Saccharomyces cerevisiae S288C: one gene and its partners. Changing the gene in region 2 together with the main gene of any one other region gives a genetic interaction. Each region holds a gene or a part of one and is shown on either strand. Other genes may lie near its edges.

Region 1 (3,159 bases), on a different chromosome or scaffold from region 2:
TTAATAAGTGATAGGGGACATTACTCACAGATTGTATGTTTGAATGATTTCTCATCAATGAGATTTCACATAGTGTTTGTAAACTTTTCATATCTCGACATCAATCGATTTATACATTCACTAGAACGTATTTCCATGAACAAAAACCGTTTGCATGTAAGTTACATATGTATCTAATCGTCATAACTGAACAAATCCCTTCTTCGCAAATATTAAATATTTGAAATTTTCTATTGTGATCTTTCTTAAGCCCATCGTGGCAAATGCCGAGAAAAATACGCAATTGTACCAGCTTTATTGAAAGCGCCAGATATACAGTGACAACACCCCGAATATAGTTGAGAAATTTATAGTATTTCAATTATTACATAAAACAAAATTTTGGAATTCTGTGGTTGGGGTAACAAAGAATAAATAGAAGCAACAGAAATTTCAAAACTATTATATACTTCTATGACATTTTTGTTTATATTTGCACTTAATTTTCCTTTTTGTCTGCCTATATACATACCCTTATAACCTTCTTTTCCTCCTTCTTCTTTCTTTCTTGTTTTTAAAGCAGCCTTCATTCACCACGCAATGCCTTGATGACCGCGGGTCTTCTCATCATATGCTTCGTCCATTTGTAAACTTCTGGAAATTCAATTTTGATATTAATGCCAATTCTATCCACGACATTATTCCATGGGACAAAGGCCAAATCTGCTATAGTTAATTTATCTCCTACAAGCCATACGGGATAATCAAAGAAACGACTTTGTGACATTGGTGTTGTACCAGCTGAGTATGCAGCCGCATTTTCCGTGTCTAATTCCATCACCAGCGCTTCTCTACGTTCAGCCAAGGCCATCTCCACTACACCGTAAACTCTTCTAACCTCATCCGTATATCTTTCTACAGCACTTGCTATCTTTTGTGAATGGAAGTATCTGAAATGTAAAGCTTGTCCAATCATTGGCGCATGCCCTGACGTTTGGAAGAACAACCATGCGTTGATTTGTGATTGGTCAGCTAAATCATCGGACCAGAGTAATGGATTACCAGTCTCTTTGTAATATTTATTTACCAAATGTAATAAAATCGCCCCTGATTCCCAAATAGACAAGTTGTCCATACCATGATCGATTAAAGCTGGAACTCTTGCATTAGGGTTCACAGACACAAATTCGGGGGCCCTATGTTCGCCAAGATTGAAATCTAGGAAGATTGTGTTATAATGAAATCCAAGTTCACTTAGTACTATAGCAACTTTGAATCCATTAGGCGCAGACCTGTGAGAGAAAAGGGTATATCCCTCCAGTGGTTGTTCTTGAAAAAATTTTGTAATTCTGGAATACTCCACGTGACTCATATCCGAAAATGCCTGTTGTTGTTGTCGATGTTGTTCTAAGGTATTCTTGATATTATTCTCGTTATCATTATTTTGGCTACCATTGCGGCCGCTGTTATTGTTTTGAACATTATTGTTATTACTACTGCTATTGTTATTATTATTATTATTTACACCTGTTGAAAATTCAAAATTTATATTACTTTGATCGGTGGTTGTATTACTGTTCCTGTTTCCTATGTTTACTTGACGGAGCGCATTGGAGAGATTCGACACTTGGTTGCCGTTGTTATTCATCATTTGGTGTACAACTTAATTTGCAGCTTAAAACAATATGACTAATAACAAAAAATGAAAAACTAAAAATAAAGAAGTTCGTACGGGGGATCTTTATTCCTCTTCGATTCAATTCAGTGCTATAAACAATTCCAAATGAGCTGTTTGAAAAGGAAAGATTTTTGCTATTCTTTTCAACCTCGAGTAAGGAAGCTTTCGTCTTTGTATAGTTGCTTTTCTGGCCTAGTAGAAAGGAAAACTACATGCTGAAGCCACTCTTCCTCAAAAATTCAATAGTGGCAGCTCATCAATCCTCCTATTCGGCGAGAATTGAAAAAAAAATTCCAGGCTGCGTCACCCGGATTAATGTTGTTATTCCAGACAACAGTCGGTATTCATTTTCCACATTGACTACAGTTAAATTAAACTCTACACAGCTCTACTAATAATTTCTGTTTCGGCGTTCTATGGTTTGGTGTCACTATATTCTTTTGGTCTTGACTTTCTTTCTTTTCACTACGTTTTTCACTGCCGCATGCCCTGCTATCTTCACGTGGTTGAATAGCTTATTTCGACTATCAAATGATTCTCCGCATGTAGTGCACACCTCGATCGCGGAGGTTGGAGACATAGAGGACGGTAGAGTCGACAAGGACGGAGTGCTTTTTGTGGATTTAGAATTCTTTTTAGGTTGTTTGCCCTTTTTCTTTTTCGCTTTAGTAGACCAATCTTCATCGTCATCCGTTTGTAAGCCCTTGTCTCCTAGTGATGCCAAAAGATCATCCAACTCATTACTCCGTTTGTCTTTAGTATCATCGAACGATTCAGATTCCTCTGTTTCTGTGTCAACCTTTGCTTTTTTTTTCTTTTTTCTTTTCTTTTTATTCTTCGTATTCACATGTACATTTTCATCCGAACTGACGTCTTCTACCTCTATATCCATTTCTATGTTGAGATTGTCATCTTCACTTTCGTCTTCAGAAGACGATTCTGCCAGTTTTCTTTCAATTTCAGCGAGTTCAGCTTGCAATGCTTGCAGATCAATATCTTCTTTTTCTTTAACACTTTCATCTGCTGAATCAAATTTCTCGAGATCGGAGAGATTATCCAACCCAAGCGTTATGTTTTCCTCTTCCATTTCTTTCCGTATCTCTTCCATATTTTTCTTATGCAGTTTAGTGTTTATGTGGTTTTTCAATTGCTTTTCCGACTTAAATGTCTTGTTGCAGATAAAACACTCGTAAATCAATACTTCACCTTCCTTATCATTCTTAGAATTTTCGAATTCTCCAAAATTATCATATACCTTTTCCAGTTCATCCCAGTTTTCTTCTTTTACCGTTTGCCAGCTTTGTAAATGAAATTTTTCTTCGTCATTGTTGTCGTTCCCAAACTTTCTTCTGTTATTTAACTCATTTTTCCTCTGTTGTTCTTTTAGTTTACGCTGTTCTTCTGCAATTTTTGCACCTTCTTTCATTCTTTTATCGAGCTTTTTTATGAAAACTACAAACCTTTTCACGGTTTTGTTGTATTCATTTCGAGCTTGTTGCCTA
Region 2 (4,158 bases):
AGTGCCAAATGAATCAATCTTGTTGAATCGATTTTCTAGATTAGCCTTTTCGACTTCATGTTTGAAAATGGCTTCCGCCATTGGTGATCTACAGAAGTTACCCAAACAAATGAATGCGACCGATATTTTTGGTTTTTCAATTGTCATTTTCGTGTTAACTTTCCCTTCTCAGTTTTCTATCGCTTATCAAAAATCACAGGGTTTCAATTAGCCTTTTAGGAGTTATATTCTTTATTGGCTTTATACTTGAATGGTGTGATTCTCTCGAAGGGTTTAACATTCAAGCTCGGCCATGTGCTGGTACAAGGAAAAAGAAAGAAAAAGTAATCATTGAAATTTTTCTATAATACGTACACCTATAATATAAGAAGGAAAAGGACTGAGTGTTTGGAATATTGTTAAAAGTTTGAAACTATTTTTTTGCTTAATCGTTTATAAAAAAAGTTGTATTTAAGTTGTATAAAGTTTTATTTCATTTTTTCACAAATAATATCATATCAAATCTGATGATCTACGATCAGAATTTAGAAAGCTTTTTTCAAAGGAGAAATTAGCTTGTCACCCTTATAGAATGCAATGGTCTTTTGAGCTCTTTCAGCAACACCTTCTGGGGTGAAACCGAAGAACTTGAAGACTTCTGGTGCCTTACCGGAGGCACCAAATCTGTCAATACCGAAGGATTGATGAGCGTATTTGCCCCAACATGTGGTAGCCAAAACTTCAACAGACATGATTGGAACGTTGTCTGGTAAGACTGATAGTCTGTATTCTAGGGGTTGTTTGTCAAAAGTGAAGAAATCTGGTAGAGAAACAACACGAGCCTTGATGTTCTTTGCGGCCAAAGTCTTAGCAGCTTCAACACTCAAAGACACTTCGGAACCAGTAGCCACTAAAATAATATCTGGGTTAGCAACATCTTGTAGTACGTAACCACCCTTAGAAGCGCTTTCAATAGAGCTACCTTCCAATTGTGGCAAGTTTTGTCTGGACAAAGCAATGATACTTGGAGTATGCTTGGATTCTAAAGAGTTCTTGTAGGCGGCAGAAACTTCGTTACCATCAGCTGGTCTCCAAACTTGAATGTTTGGTAGGGATCTGAAGTGTGCTAAAGTTTCAATAGGTTGATGTGTTGGACCATCTTCACCGACACCGATAGAGTCATGTGTAGCAACCCAAATAACTGGGTGGCCAGACAAAGCGGACAATCTAACGGCACCAGCAGCATAAGAAACGAAGTTCAAGAAAGTACCACCGTATGGTTTGTAGTTGGCACCGAAAGCTGAAATACCGTTCATTATGGCACCCATAGCGTGTTCTCTAATACCGTACCTAATGTATCTACCAGAGTAGTTACCTGAACCGGAAGAAGGAGGTTGGAAGTCAAGGGCTTCCTTCCATCTGGTCAAGTTAGAAGGTGTTAAATCGGCAGAACCACCAATCAACTCTGGCAATTGATTGTAAACATCCTCAAGAACAGTTTCTGATAATTTTCTAGTGGCCACGGCAGAGTCCTTGGCGGTGTAAGTTGGCAACTTAGATTCCCAATTTGCGGGTAGTTGGCCGCTCAATCTTCTAGCCAATTCAGCACCTAATTCTGGGAATTTCTTTTGGTATTCGCTGAACAACTTGTTCCACTTGTTGTTGGCTTCGACACCTGGCTTTAAAATTGTCTTTTGGTAGTGGTCGTAAACTTCTTGTGGAACAACAAAGGACTTGTCTGGGTTGAAACCGAATTTGCTCTTTAGTTGTTTAACATCATCTGCTTTCAATGGGGCACCGTGCACAGAGTGAGAGCCGGCATGCAAGGAACCGTAACCAATGGTTGTGGTCATTTTGATCAAAGTTGGTTTGTCCTTGGATAACTTAGCTTGAGCAATAGCCTTGGCAATACCGGCTAGATCTTCGTTACCATTTTCTACGTACAAAACTTCCCAACCGTAGGCTTCGTATCTCTTAGCAACATCTTCATCGAATGAGATACTGGTAGCACCATCGATAGTGATCTTGTTGTCATCGTAGATGGCAATCAAGTTACCCAATTTCAAATGACCAGCCAAGGAGGAAGCTTCTGAAGAAATACCTTCTTGCAAACAACCGTCACCCAAGAAAACATAGGTGTAGTTGTCAGACAAGGTAAAGCCCGGCTTGTTGTAAGTGGCAGCCAGGTTAGCTTGAGCCATGGCCATACCAACAGCGTTGGAGATACCTTGACCTAATGGACCGGTAGTAACTTCAACACCTGGCAACTCAAATTCAGGATGACCTGGTGTTCTGGAACCCAACTGTCTGAACTGTTTCAAGTCTTCAATAGACAGATCGTAACCAGTCAAATGTAGCATAGAATACAACAAAGCGACCGCGTGACCGTTAGACAAGACAAATCTATCTCTGTTGATCCAGTCTGGGTTGGTTGGGTTCATGCGCATTTGACTCCATAGAACGTGTGCAGCTGGTGCCATACCCAATGGAGCACCTGGGTGACCTGAGTTGGCCTTGGATACGGTGTCCACAGCCAAAATTCTTATGGTGGAGACGGCTAGCTTATCAATGTCAGTGAATTGAGTCATTTTGTTTGCTAAAGAGGTAACTATGTAGAGTTGCTTGGGATGAGCTTCCTTCTCTGTTGTACTTCAGTTTGATCTGAAACTTAAAAAACGAAATTTAAAAGGAAGACAACGGTGAGAACAAGAAATGAATGAATCAAGAAGTCACGATCAAGTATGTAGGTAAAAGATCAGGGGGGAGTATGTACGTAACCAAAAAGATTGGGAAAGAGTTTATATATGAATCATGCCTACGATCGTACCTTCTTGGCTTTCCCAAGAAAATTTTTCATCTCTCGAACTTCTCGAGAGATTGCGAACGGAACGGCAAACGCCGCCGGCATTTCTCGGAAAGAAGACTAGAAAATAAATGACGGTGGGAAAAAAAGCAAGAAGCTACGGTTACCCGCAGCGGCACTATAGTAGATGGGCTTTTAAGCCCGTTTTCAGGGTCAGGTAATATGTAATGTAGTAGCACTTAAACTTGCTAACCATAAATGACCAAAATGCAAGTTTGCTGTATTTTAGTCCCGTTGGCGTTTTCGGATGCTTCATTCCCCAGAGAAGTGATGTGTATGCGAAAAATGTCTCAATGCAGCTTTGGCTGCTGCGGAACTTATCCGCTTTGTAAGCACATCTTGTTTTAATGTGTATGAATTTTTATATTTGGTTCGAAAATTATGACATTCGGCCAAGAAACTTTCAGAGGAGCTGTGTATTAGCAGATGGTAAGCGCACGTTGAAAATGCTGAATATTATTAATTTAGACATACCTTGATGGCTGAACAGTAGTCAGAAAATTAAAAAAAAAAAAAAAGCGCTTATTACGGCGTATACACGTAACTATATAGACGTAGATCATTGAATATTGATATGATATAATATTTTCCCCGGGATTGCAGAATACTGACACGCCTTTTATTTATCGTTCATCGTGTATTTCGAACTTGTCCTCAAACGGGCTCTCAGTGCGACTGCCCTGGGTGCTCTCGCGTATCGATTCTGGAATTTCCAAGTCCAGTATAAAACTTCCTTCTTCATCGTCATCTTCGTCGTTATTACCATGGCTTGCCTCGCTTTTTGCCATGTGTGAAAGATCATCCGCCTCTGTCTGTTCTTCAATGACATCCAAGTCCTGAATCTCCTTATCACTCTCTTCCTCTGCGATTTGAACCAGTTTAGGTTTAGCACGAATAGCAGTTATGAGGTTATCGTCTGCGTCCTTATTGAGTACCTGGTTATGCTCGTCATCTTCGTCATCCAGACCATCCAAGATGGAAGAACCTAAGGTTATATGTGACCTGATATCACCAGCTGCATTTTGTCTCTTAGAGCTCGAGCGTAGTTTTGATTGCAGTTTGTCGGTACTCAAACCGCTTGTCACACCAGGAATGTAGGCAATAGGCAAAATATTAGAAGCCCTTGTACGAGTGGTAGATGCTGAACTTCTGTTTCCCGGCACGTTGAGAGTTGGAGGTACCAGTGACGTATTGAACAGGGTGTGACTTTCATCTTTTCTCATACCGCCATCATCCTCATCGTCTTCATCATCATCGTCTTCATCGTCGAAGTATTCCTCTTCATTCCCGTAACTTTGCGATGCCTCTTCCAATTT
Region 3 (5,046 bases), on a different chromosome or scaffold from region 2:
TGATAATAATGGAAAGGTAGACTTCGACGCAGATGATGAATTGAAACTTGTGAATTTGCGTTTAGGAATCGTCGGCAAGAACGCAACTGGGATGAAGGAAGATGAGACTGATATTGTGGTTCCTAAGGAAGAGTCATTGGAAGAGATCTGGCAAAGTATAATAGACGAGGCAAAAAAAGAAGTAATCGAAAAAACTCCAGATGCTGGCGTTAAGAACAAAGAAGGGATTGTCACTGATTTGAATGTTCTAAAAGATTTAGAAAAGTCGAAAAAAGAAGATGAAAAGGTTTACCTAAGTGGTGATGTCCATATGATGATGAACCAACCAGGTGATTTGAATGAAATCGCCAAAGAACATGATAAAATCCCAAAATTTCTATAGTAGGCTCTATGCATCCGGATATACCACATGTAAATATAACGCAAGCGAATAAATAATTTTACATTCACCACTCAGTAACCTTGGTCCTGCAGAAGATATTTCTATATAGTTATTACCGTATTCCATTTTTACTTATGTGCTATTATTTATATTACAGAGGGGTTTCCCTTGTGTTAATTGTTACATTTTTATCATCATTCATTTTTATAGTTTGGTTACCAGTTGCGCTTGTTTCCTGGTTCGAGTTTGGATTATCGTCCTTGAGTTCCGTTGATGATTCCTCGTTGGCGGTTCTTTCTCTTCCTGCTGTTTTTTCATCTGCAGCGTCACCTGACTCTTGTCTGGTTTCGTTAATTGAGGTCAAGGGAGAAGCATTCATTTGTGTATTAGAGTTGACATTTGTGCTGGAATTGACTCTTGGTGAAGATGTATTAGAGGGGGGGTGTCTGCTCATATGAGAGGGCGTAACATTTGGTGAAGATTGTGAAGTTTTTTTAGAAGACTTATTTGGCGCAAATGGTAAAGGCGTGTTGTTGCTATTATTATTAGCACTATTTATGGCTGGACTTCCCTGCGATTCTAGTTGTGTTTGTCTGGAAGTGGGGTTTACTGGCGTTGTTGTACTGGTCGTACCGTTGGGAAAGGAGTTTAGTTGTTGCAAGATTTCCTGGGGCAAATTCTTCCACTGGTTTAAAGGAGATCCTTGCTCGGTCATGGCAGGTGATCCCACGTTAAATTGTATTGGGATTTGCGATTGTACACCTGACCTTTGTGGGTTAACGGAATTGATGTTAGAGTTAGGGCTCACGACCACCGGTTCATCGGTCAGAAGACCAGGAATTTGTGCAAATAGTAAATGCATATTATTCAAAGCATTCGATAGTTTATCAAAGTATTTGGAACCTATCTTCAATACCCAGGTATAATTTCTAACATAATCTCTGAAAATCATAGCCTCTTCCTTCGTAGCTGAAGTCACATACAGCAGGGCAGCAAATGTTCCAATTAGCATCAGATTTCCAGTTGAGCAGTTATACCAAAAAGCATTAATATGTTCGTTTTTTAGATCTCTTATAAATTCAATTGCTGCTACAAGCCTGGTTCTTGCAGCAGTCCTGCATACTTGAACCAGTTCCTTTGGAGTTTGAGGATTCAAGGCACAGATAATTTTCCTATGTAACGTAATTTCCGTGGCAAAATAAGCTAGAGTTAAAGTTGAATTTGAGTTCAATTTTTGTGGCGTGGCATAACTCATTGACAAATTCTTGGGTAGGGAATGGTACCATTCTCTTAATTTCAGTTGCAACGGCTTTGCCAGTTTCAATACCTGTTCAATGCTTTTGTTTATTGTCATGGATCCCTGAGTGTAAAATGTGTCCATGATTTCCCCAAGAATTATACTCAAGGAAACCATTTGTTGAAACATAAGCGTTCCATTCTTGAAATCTTCTAAAGTGGGGTTTATGTTAAATATGGGCAAGTTACCAAATGCTATCTGATGGTTTTTCACATCATTTGATGACGAGGGTGAAGACCCCGACTGGTCATTTTGCAAGGAATTTAAAATAGTGGGCGAATTCAGAGGAAAATCATCAAAGTTTAATAGCTTGATCATCCAGTTCCTACCTAAAATTAAATGGGATTGTCTACCTTCGTTTAATGCACACCATTTATCCATCAACCAAACTGCCCACGCTAATCTCTTTCTCAAATCTTTTTCCCATTTGGGAAGTTTCCAATCATTACATTCAACCCCGAGCCCCAATTCCTCTGCAAGGGCCACTACGCTGGAGCAGAGGACCCAGTTGTTATGACATTCACTACGGCATTGCAAAATCAAAAGGCCTGTTTGTATAATGCTCAATTTTGGCCTTCCAACTCGAGCATAAAATGTTTCCAATGCGATATTGTTTAGTTGAGCAGTTACATCGGGTTTAGGGAACCCCAAAAGTGCAGGATGAAAATCCCAATATTGTAATGCCAGTGAGTAAATGGATGCCAGTAAAGGCGCAGTGAGTTCTCTATAAGATCTAGAATACTTTTCCAAAAATACACGTTCGTGTAAAATTGGAAGAAAAGGATGAATCAATTTGAAGAAAATCTCTACTAAAAGGTGACCGTGCGGATGTACCAGATTTTCGACCAAATCAACTTCGTATTCTTGCTTACTATGAAGGGTCGTGTCAAAATCGTCCTGAAGAATAAACTGTGCGGTAGGAGACACCTTTCTTAATGATAAAGTTTTTGATAGCTGTATTTGGTCAACATTATCTAGTCTTACATGCTTGGTCAAGTTCAAATCGAAAACTGAGGCCGGACCGACGAAAAAAGAGGATCTGGGGTATTGTATACGCTGTTGCTGCTGTTGCTGTTGCTGCTGCTGTTGATGTCTATAGAGCATGCTACTGGGTAAGCGATTCGAATAGTCTTCAAAATTTTTCATTCGTTTGGAGTTTGAAGAGGTTGGCATGTTATTGTTTGCCCCAGAGGACGTTCTTTTCAAATAATTTGGAGCAATACTGAAGGTGCATTTAGTTCTTGACGTTTCACATTCGAGACAGTTGCCTAGGTCGGGAAAATAGTTGCACTTTGTTTTCTTTAATCTACATTGATTGCAAGATCCCATCAGATTACCGGGACTAGATATGTCATTATTGTTGTTATTATTGTTGCTATTACTGCCATTATGATCTGCGCTGTTACTAACATTGTCATCAAAGGCTATTGCATTATCACTCTTGGAGAGTAAACTTTGATAATGGTGCAAAAGGGTATCCAGGCTCTGTTGTTGCTGCTGTTGTTGCTGCTGTTGTTGCTGTTGTTGCTGCTGCTGATGCTGTTGTTGTTGTGATCCTCCTTTCTCCCTCAGTATATTAGGATGGTCGTTTGCCAAATGTTGCAGAATGGTAGTATAGTTATCATTAAAATTCAGTATATCATGGTTACTGTTATTATTGCTGTTGTTGCTATTGACATTATTATTCGTGGACGAATTTTTAGTGGTTGCCTTCACGCTCTTCGTAGGCGATGCGGCATTATCAGCTGGTGATTGGTGAGGGTCCATTTGATAGTATGGCTGCCTGTCGTTCTGCCGCTCGTCTAAACAGGCCAAGAGTTTTTAAGATCTACACTATTATTTGAAAATGATTCTTATCATCTATTATTTTCAATCACCATGTACGATTGTTATGTTTCATATAATACCCATCGCGATGGATATTATATGAGTATTATTAGCTCGAATCTTGGACTGCTTCTGCTCTACCTATACACTGATTGTACAATTCTATATGCTTATGCAGCTTAGACCATTTTTTATTCGAGAAGTTAAACCTAGCGGTCTCAATTACCGACACATATGCCTTTTCAAGATATCGAGTTAATGAGCGACGGTATCACCTTATAAAAAATGACACAAATCATCTCTGTTGAATTGCCTACATCACTGTGGGAGCTCCTTTTTCAATAATTCTCAAAGCGTGTCCTAAGACAATATTTTGTTTTCAGCGTGGACCGAATGGTTATGGTTATATAATTAAACAAGTTAAAGACCATAAGCACAAATACAAAGTACGTAAACATCGTTCCAAAAAAACTTGGCGAACTACTCGCCCCCCAGCAGAGCACTCAACCCCAACATACCTAACAATGCAAACTTGGCATATTTGTTCTCGCTAATCCAAATCGTAATGTACCCTAGTTGTGGAAAGTAGCCCTTGACGGTCCCTACAATCTCCTTTGACTTGTTCAAGTAAATTTTCTTATTAGCATATAGTGAGATATCATTGCCGGCGTTATTGTCACCTTTGGTCAGGAGGAATTGCTTGTCCGCGTGATTGTTATGTTGCCTCAAAACTCTATGCACAATGGGGATTTGTTTCCCTTCGACCTCATACACCACGACATCACCTACTTGGTTGAAAGTATTTCTATTCCATAGGAAAAGGATATCACCCCTTTGGAAAGCTGGTTCCATGGAGCCTGAAAGCACCACCACGATCGGAGAAGCGCTATTAGTAGCAATGGCTAAGCCTTGCCAGAACATGTAAGCAGATGCAAACAAAAAGCAAACGTTCAATAGTTTCTGCAATTCAAATCTTAGATTCATCTTGTGCTAACTCCCTTGGGGTTTACTTTCCGGTATATTTCTGTAGTATATTGTTTCTGCACCATTTATTTCCTTGGAGATTATTTTTTTGAAATCGCTTTTGCCAATGGAAAAAAGTATACGTATGGTAATAATAATAAGAGCAACAGCGCTCTCTGAAATAGAAGATACCAGCAGCTTCGTGGTCTTGGGAGTCTTGCAGCTGACAGAGAATGACATTGTTGTGCAGGTGTGTCACATAAGATCTGGAAAAAACCAACAGCTACAGAAAGAACCGCCCTCACGGAGAATAAAGTCAATAGTAGCTTTTTTTTACGTACTTTCTATTTACATGCTATATAAGAGGATTATATCTTTGCGCCTTTGAGAAACTTTGAGGAACCGGCCTGAAAATGTTGTAGATTGAGCTTTTCTTGCTTAACGTAGTCGTTGAATTGCTTTAGGACGCCTGAGTCCAACCTACCATTGTCCTTCATCACAATGTCAACGAGGTTGCTATACGTACGAAGAACTTTACTCGACTCCATAGTAGCGAGAAACACCTCTGTCATATCAG
Region 4 (4,236 bases), on a different chromosome or scaffold from region 2:
CGCCTCAACTGTTGGGTTCTTGTCTATTTTATGTATATTCTATATTTCAAGGATTACGGAATCGATAAGTATTCTATTATGTAATCGCCTTTATATACAATGGCCGTGCGCGTTTATATAATAAAGTACCTTCGCCCTTTGGATTTATTAGTACTGTTGAGGGAACAATATTGCAGATTATGGATCTTGTACGACATTTTATGCGTACGCCCTCTTCATCATCGCCGTCAATATAATAAGCTTTATCTTCAGTCCCCCCCTTGACATCCCCCTTAGCGTGGGAAGGGCTCCGTGGGGGAGTAATAGCATCTAATGGTCAAGAGTTTTATCGAGACGAAAAAGAGGAAGGAAAAAAACTGAAGATGGAAAAGGCTAGTGATACGCTAGCGATTTATTTTTTTCCTGGAAATAAAATAAATGTAAAATGCTATTATGTATTTTTCATTATATATGTAAGCATATATATTCGAGGTACTACGGATGTTTTTGACCAAGAAAAGACCACACACAGGTCCTAATCATTGAGATCGAATTTGTACATTTTTACGCACCCAAATTCATCACCACTAAAGCATTCTGAATCTCCAATACAAACACAAGCGATAGGGGCGACTTTATCACCCAAGGATTGTGTTTGTGTGTGCTGAGTTTCTCTTTGTAGTCTTCGACCGTTGAACGTGTGCATACACTTCCCGCTTTGCAAGTCCCAGACCTTAATGCTTCCGTCGTGAGAACCACTTATAATTCTGAAGTTGTCAGCGGCGATGTCCCAAACACCTTCCACGTGCCCAAACTGTGTTCTTATGCATTTACCGGTTTTGACGTCCCATAGTTTGATTGTGTTATCCAGTCCGCAAGATAGTAGATGTGTTGGATAAGGTATGTTTTCATCTAAGACAGTTTCTTGCTCGTTCGACGGTGTGTCTGATTCGTCTGCACCATCAGTCATTGTTGGGTCATCCTGCGGAGAGCTGCCATCAGAAGTGTTGTCGGTGGCTAGATTCTCTACATCCTTAATGGTAAGCGGTATGATCTTTTGCACCTGCCCTACATGACCCCTGAACACTTTTAGGCATGAATTGGTCCTGATATCCCACATTCGGATTGTGGTATCGTCACTGCAACTAAAACATGAAAAGCTTTTCGGATGCAATTTGACGCAATTAACCCATTCCGTGTGGCCTCTCAAGGTGTAGCATGTCCTGGACTCCACGTGCCATACCTTGACCGTCTTGTCAGCACTGCCGGAAACGATAACCTTCTGGTATGAATCTACGCTCAGAACGCTATCCGAGTGGCCTCGATACGTGGAAATGCATTCACCGGTTATGTAGTTCCAAACACGGATCGTCTTGTCGAGCGAGCCCGTAATCAGCTTTCTATCGTCAAAATATAATGTCTTGACGCCGTCCGAATGGCCGCTGAGCCTTCGTATTAGCTTCCCCGTGAATAAGTCCCATATACCTATGGTGGAGTCGTACGAGCCTGTGAACAAAAGCCTGTAGTTAAACTGGAGCGTTAACACACCATCCATGTGGCCCTTGAATTCCTGAATCCTGCAGTGGCCCTTTCTCCAGTTTGACTCCACTTTGAACCGTTCTCTGTAGATGACTTTCCAAGGTCGCGTAGTTTGCGTCTGGATATCTGCGTTGCTGCTAGATCCTGTACTATTCTGTTGTATCCGCGCACGTTTCATGTGCAAAAGAGGCAGCCCCCAGCCACAGTTGGGACATTTCCTGTCTATGTGCTGCTCGCACATGTGGTACCATACCCTGTCGTCATCCGCGAGCTTCTGCCACTTGCGGCACACTCTCGTGGCGTTGCAAAGAGATTGGCAATCCAGATAACTCAAGATCTTCAGCGACAGCTCCTGCGGCAGAATGCTGATGAAGTCGATCTTGATCATGTGTGTAACGAGTGACGAAATGTAGGAAAGCTGTGGGAAGCAACTCGTCGATAGGATCCCATCCAGAATCAGCTTCCGTATCTTGTCATTGGAATTGCTGTACTTCGAGATAATGTGGTGGATGTCGGATTGCTCCTGCAGGGGTAGCTTCGCGATATTAGCATTAATCTCTTGCGTTCGTTTCAAATCCTGCTTGTAGCACGCTGTATGAGTTGGTGAGAACTGAATGTCCGGGTTATGCCGATAGCAGAACTTGGTGAAGTTATATTCTGGCAATGGCTGTACCCTAGTGCCGCTGTCGTTTGTCGCCAAATCGGGTGATGACGATGGCGACCTCGTCGCCATCGTCATCTTCTTCTTACCCGATGATCCTTGTGCCAAATCATCGCTACTGCCCGTAATAAGCAATCTCTTTAATGGTGGCATCATCGCCGTATCTGTCATTTCACTGCTGTTATTACTATTACTATTGTCAAGGTCGTCCTTGTCCTTGTCCTCGAAACTCATCATCCTTTGCCTCTCTCTCCTCATGCCCTTCTCCTTTATAAATCACCAAACACACACCCCTTTACCGATACTCAAGCCTCTTCTCTAAACTTCTTTAACTGCAGTCTTCTCTTACGATACAGACTGCAAGGTTGCTTTCTTCTTACGCTGATGAAAAAAAATAAAATATCTCCGCGCAAACTGTGGCTTCCCGATCACGTGCTACAACCTCATTTCTACATTAAAACACACACATTGTACCACACACGCCAACACACATATACACGCACAATCACTCCCACACATATACAAACACACGACATATGAATATATATAGTACACGCGCCAATCCATTAGTTTTTTTTTTGGGATACAGACGCACATCATGGCTTCTTGCCCGTTTAGTGCAATACAATAGCCTTGTGTTGCCGTGCCACACCCTGCAGTTATCTCTCCCAGATCTGTCTTTCCATCCCCTTAGTTGCTATCGCTGCAGCCATTTGTTCAAAATCGTTATCACCATCATTCATCATCACTTATCATTATCATGCACATGCTGCCAGCCGCTGCGGCTGGCTATGTGTTGGTAGTCATCGAGTCGGAAGCCCATCATCGGTGTGGGTGTGAGGCATTTCTAGAACGGATTTTGGGTGCCGTTTGTCACGTGGGACGGGATGCGGTTTTATTTGACGCAAGTTCCATGAACATCATCGCACGGTTTCGCAACAGTTTGGGACTGTACATGTACAAGATGGGTTTTCTCCTTTGCTTTTTTGTTTTGTTTTGTTTGATTTGATGGTTGGTAGTTATTTTTTTTTTTTTTTTAATTCAGTTGGCAGCAATGGAAGGGCTTTACCATAGCACCGTATCAGATGAAGTTTGCTGACCATCTAACCGAGTCTGCCATCCCGGAATGGAGGGACAAATATATTGATTATAAGGTCGGCAAGAAGAAGCTTCGCCGCTACAAGGAGAAGCTGGATGCCGAAGAAGAGCAATCCAGCTCCTACCGGAGCTGGATGCCCTCTGTGTCGGTATACCAGACTGCATTTCAGCAGAGAGAGCCCGGCAAAAGTCGCAGCGACGGAGACTATCGCTCCGGACCTGCGTTCAAGAAGGACTATTCTGCTTTGCAGAGGGAGTTCGTTGCTGACTTCATTGAAGACTGGTTGATCTCGTTCCAGTTGAGTAAGTGTAACGAGTTTTACCTTTGGTTGCTAAAGGAGTGCGACAAGAAGTTTGAGGTTTTACAGTCGCAACTGCACTATTACTCGCTGCAGAAGAATTATGAGCGCGACAACTTGAACCGGTCTAGTTCGAATGTTGACATGTCCACGAGTCTATATGCGGCAGGGCTTGCTGGTCGTTCTGACTCCAGGGTCAATAGCATCGACAGCGATAGCCGGTCTGTTATGTATGGGTCAATGCCCTGCACCAAAGAGGCCAAGAAGCCGCGTTTGTCGCTGCTAGCGTACTGTCAGAAAGTTCTTAAGGACAATAGGCTGCTGCCATCGTGGCCCAAACGTGGATTTTCTCTGCTACAGGACTTGAGACAGGATGCGTCCTCAAGAGGCCGCGAGACGTTTGCTTTTGGCGCTTCTTTTCTGGAGACTATGACGACAACCCAGGCTAGAAACTTGTTAAGCAACGCTATAATCGAGTACTATCTGTACTTGCAATTGGTCAAATCGTTCCGGGATATCAACGTCACCGGGTTCCGTAAAATGGTCAAGAAATTCGACAAAACGTGTCACACAAGAGAGCTGACCACGTTCATGTCGTACGCCAGGACCCACTACACCCTTTTCAAGCACGCGGATGCCAACGTGCAGTTGGTGGCACAG

Evidence for each region.
Region 1: mutations in TKL1 (region 2) and URE2 together harm fitness more than expected from each alone (negative genetic interaction), as found in Saccharomyces cerevisiae (2 studies listed by BioGRID).
Region 3: mutations in TKL1 (region 2) and DAL81 together harm fitness more than expected from each alone (negative genetic interaction), as found in Saccharomyces cerevisiae (2 studies listed by BioGRID).
Region 4: mutations in TKL1 (region 2) and MET30 together harm fitness more than expected from each alone (negative genetic interaction), as found in Saccharomyces cerevisiae (2 studies listed by BioGRID).

The regions. Positions count from the first base shown.
Region 1 is NC_001146.8:218,572-221,730, forward strand, and holds URE2 (glutathione peroxidase), read right to left. Parts: upstream 1,631-3,159; coding exon 566-1,630; downstream 1-565. Other genes in the region: ELA1 (elongin A), read right to left, coding at 1-91; JJJ1 (Jjj1p), read right to left, coding at 2,088-3,159. UniProt on the Saccharomyces cerevisiae protein: Plays an important role in nitrogen catabolite repression. Down-regulates the expression of many genes involved in nitrogen utilization by inhibiting the GATA transcriptional activators GLN3 and GAT1.
Region 2 is NC_001148.4:692,272-696,429, forward strand, and holds TKL1 (transketolase TKL1), read right to left. Parts: upstream 2,568-4,158; coding exon 525-2,567; downstream 1-524. Other genes in the region: tyrosine protein phosphatase LTP1, read right to left, coding at 1-147; OPY2 (Opy2p), read right to left, coding at 3,466-4,158. UniProt on the Saccharomyces cerevisiae protein: Catalyzes the transfer of a two-carbon ketol group from a ketose donor to an aldose acceptor, via a covalent intermediate with the cofactor thiamine pyrophosphate.
Region 3 is NC_001141.2:398,177-403,222, reverse strand, and holds DAL81 (Dal81p), read right to left. Parts: upstream 3,447-5,046; coding exon 534-3,446; downstream 1-533. Other genes in the region: INA22 (Ina22p), read left to right, coding at 1-382; signal peptidase complex catalytic subunit SEC11, read right to left, coding at 3,987-4,490; YIR021W-A (uncharacterized protein), read right to left, coding at 4,497-4,709; MRS1 (Mrs1p), read right to left, coding at 4,838-5,046. UniProt on the Saccharomyces cerevisiae protein: Positive regulation of genes required for catabolism of GABA (UGA4, UGA1, and UGA2), urea (DUR1 and DUR2), arginine and allantoin.
Region 4 is NC_001141.2:266,852-271,087, reverse strand, and holds MET30 (ubiquitin-binding SDF ubiquitin ligase complex subunit MET30), read right to left. Parts: upstream 2,438-4,236; coding exon 515-2,437; downstream 1-514. Other genes in the region: YIL046W-A (uncharacterized protein), read right to left, coding at 2,615-2,779; SYG1 (Syg1p), read left to right, coding at 3,265-4,236. UniProt on the Saccharomyces cerevisiae protein: Substrate-recognition component of the SCF(Met30) complex, an E3 ubiquitin ligase complex that mediates the ubiquitination and subsequent proteasomal degradation of target proteins. Negatively regulates sulfur amino acids biosynthesis genes expression.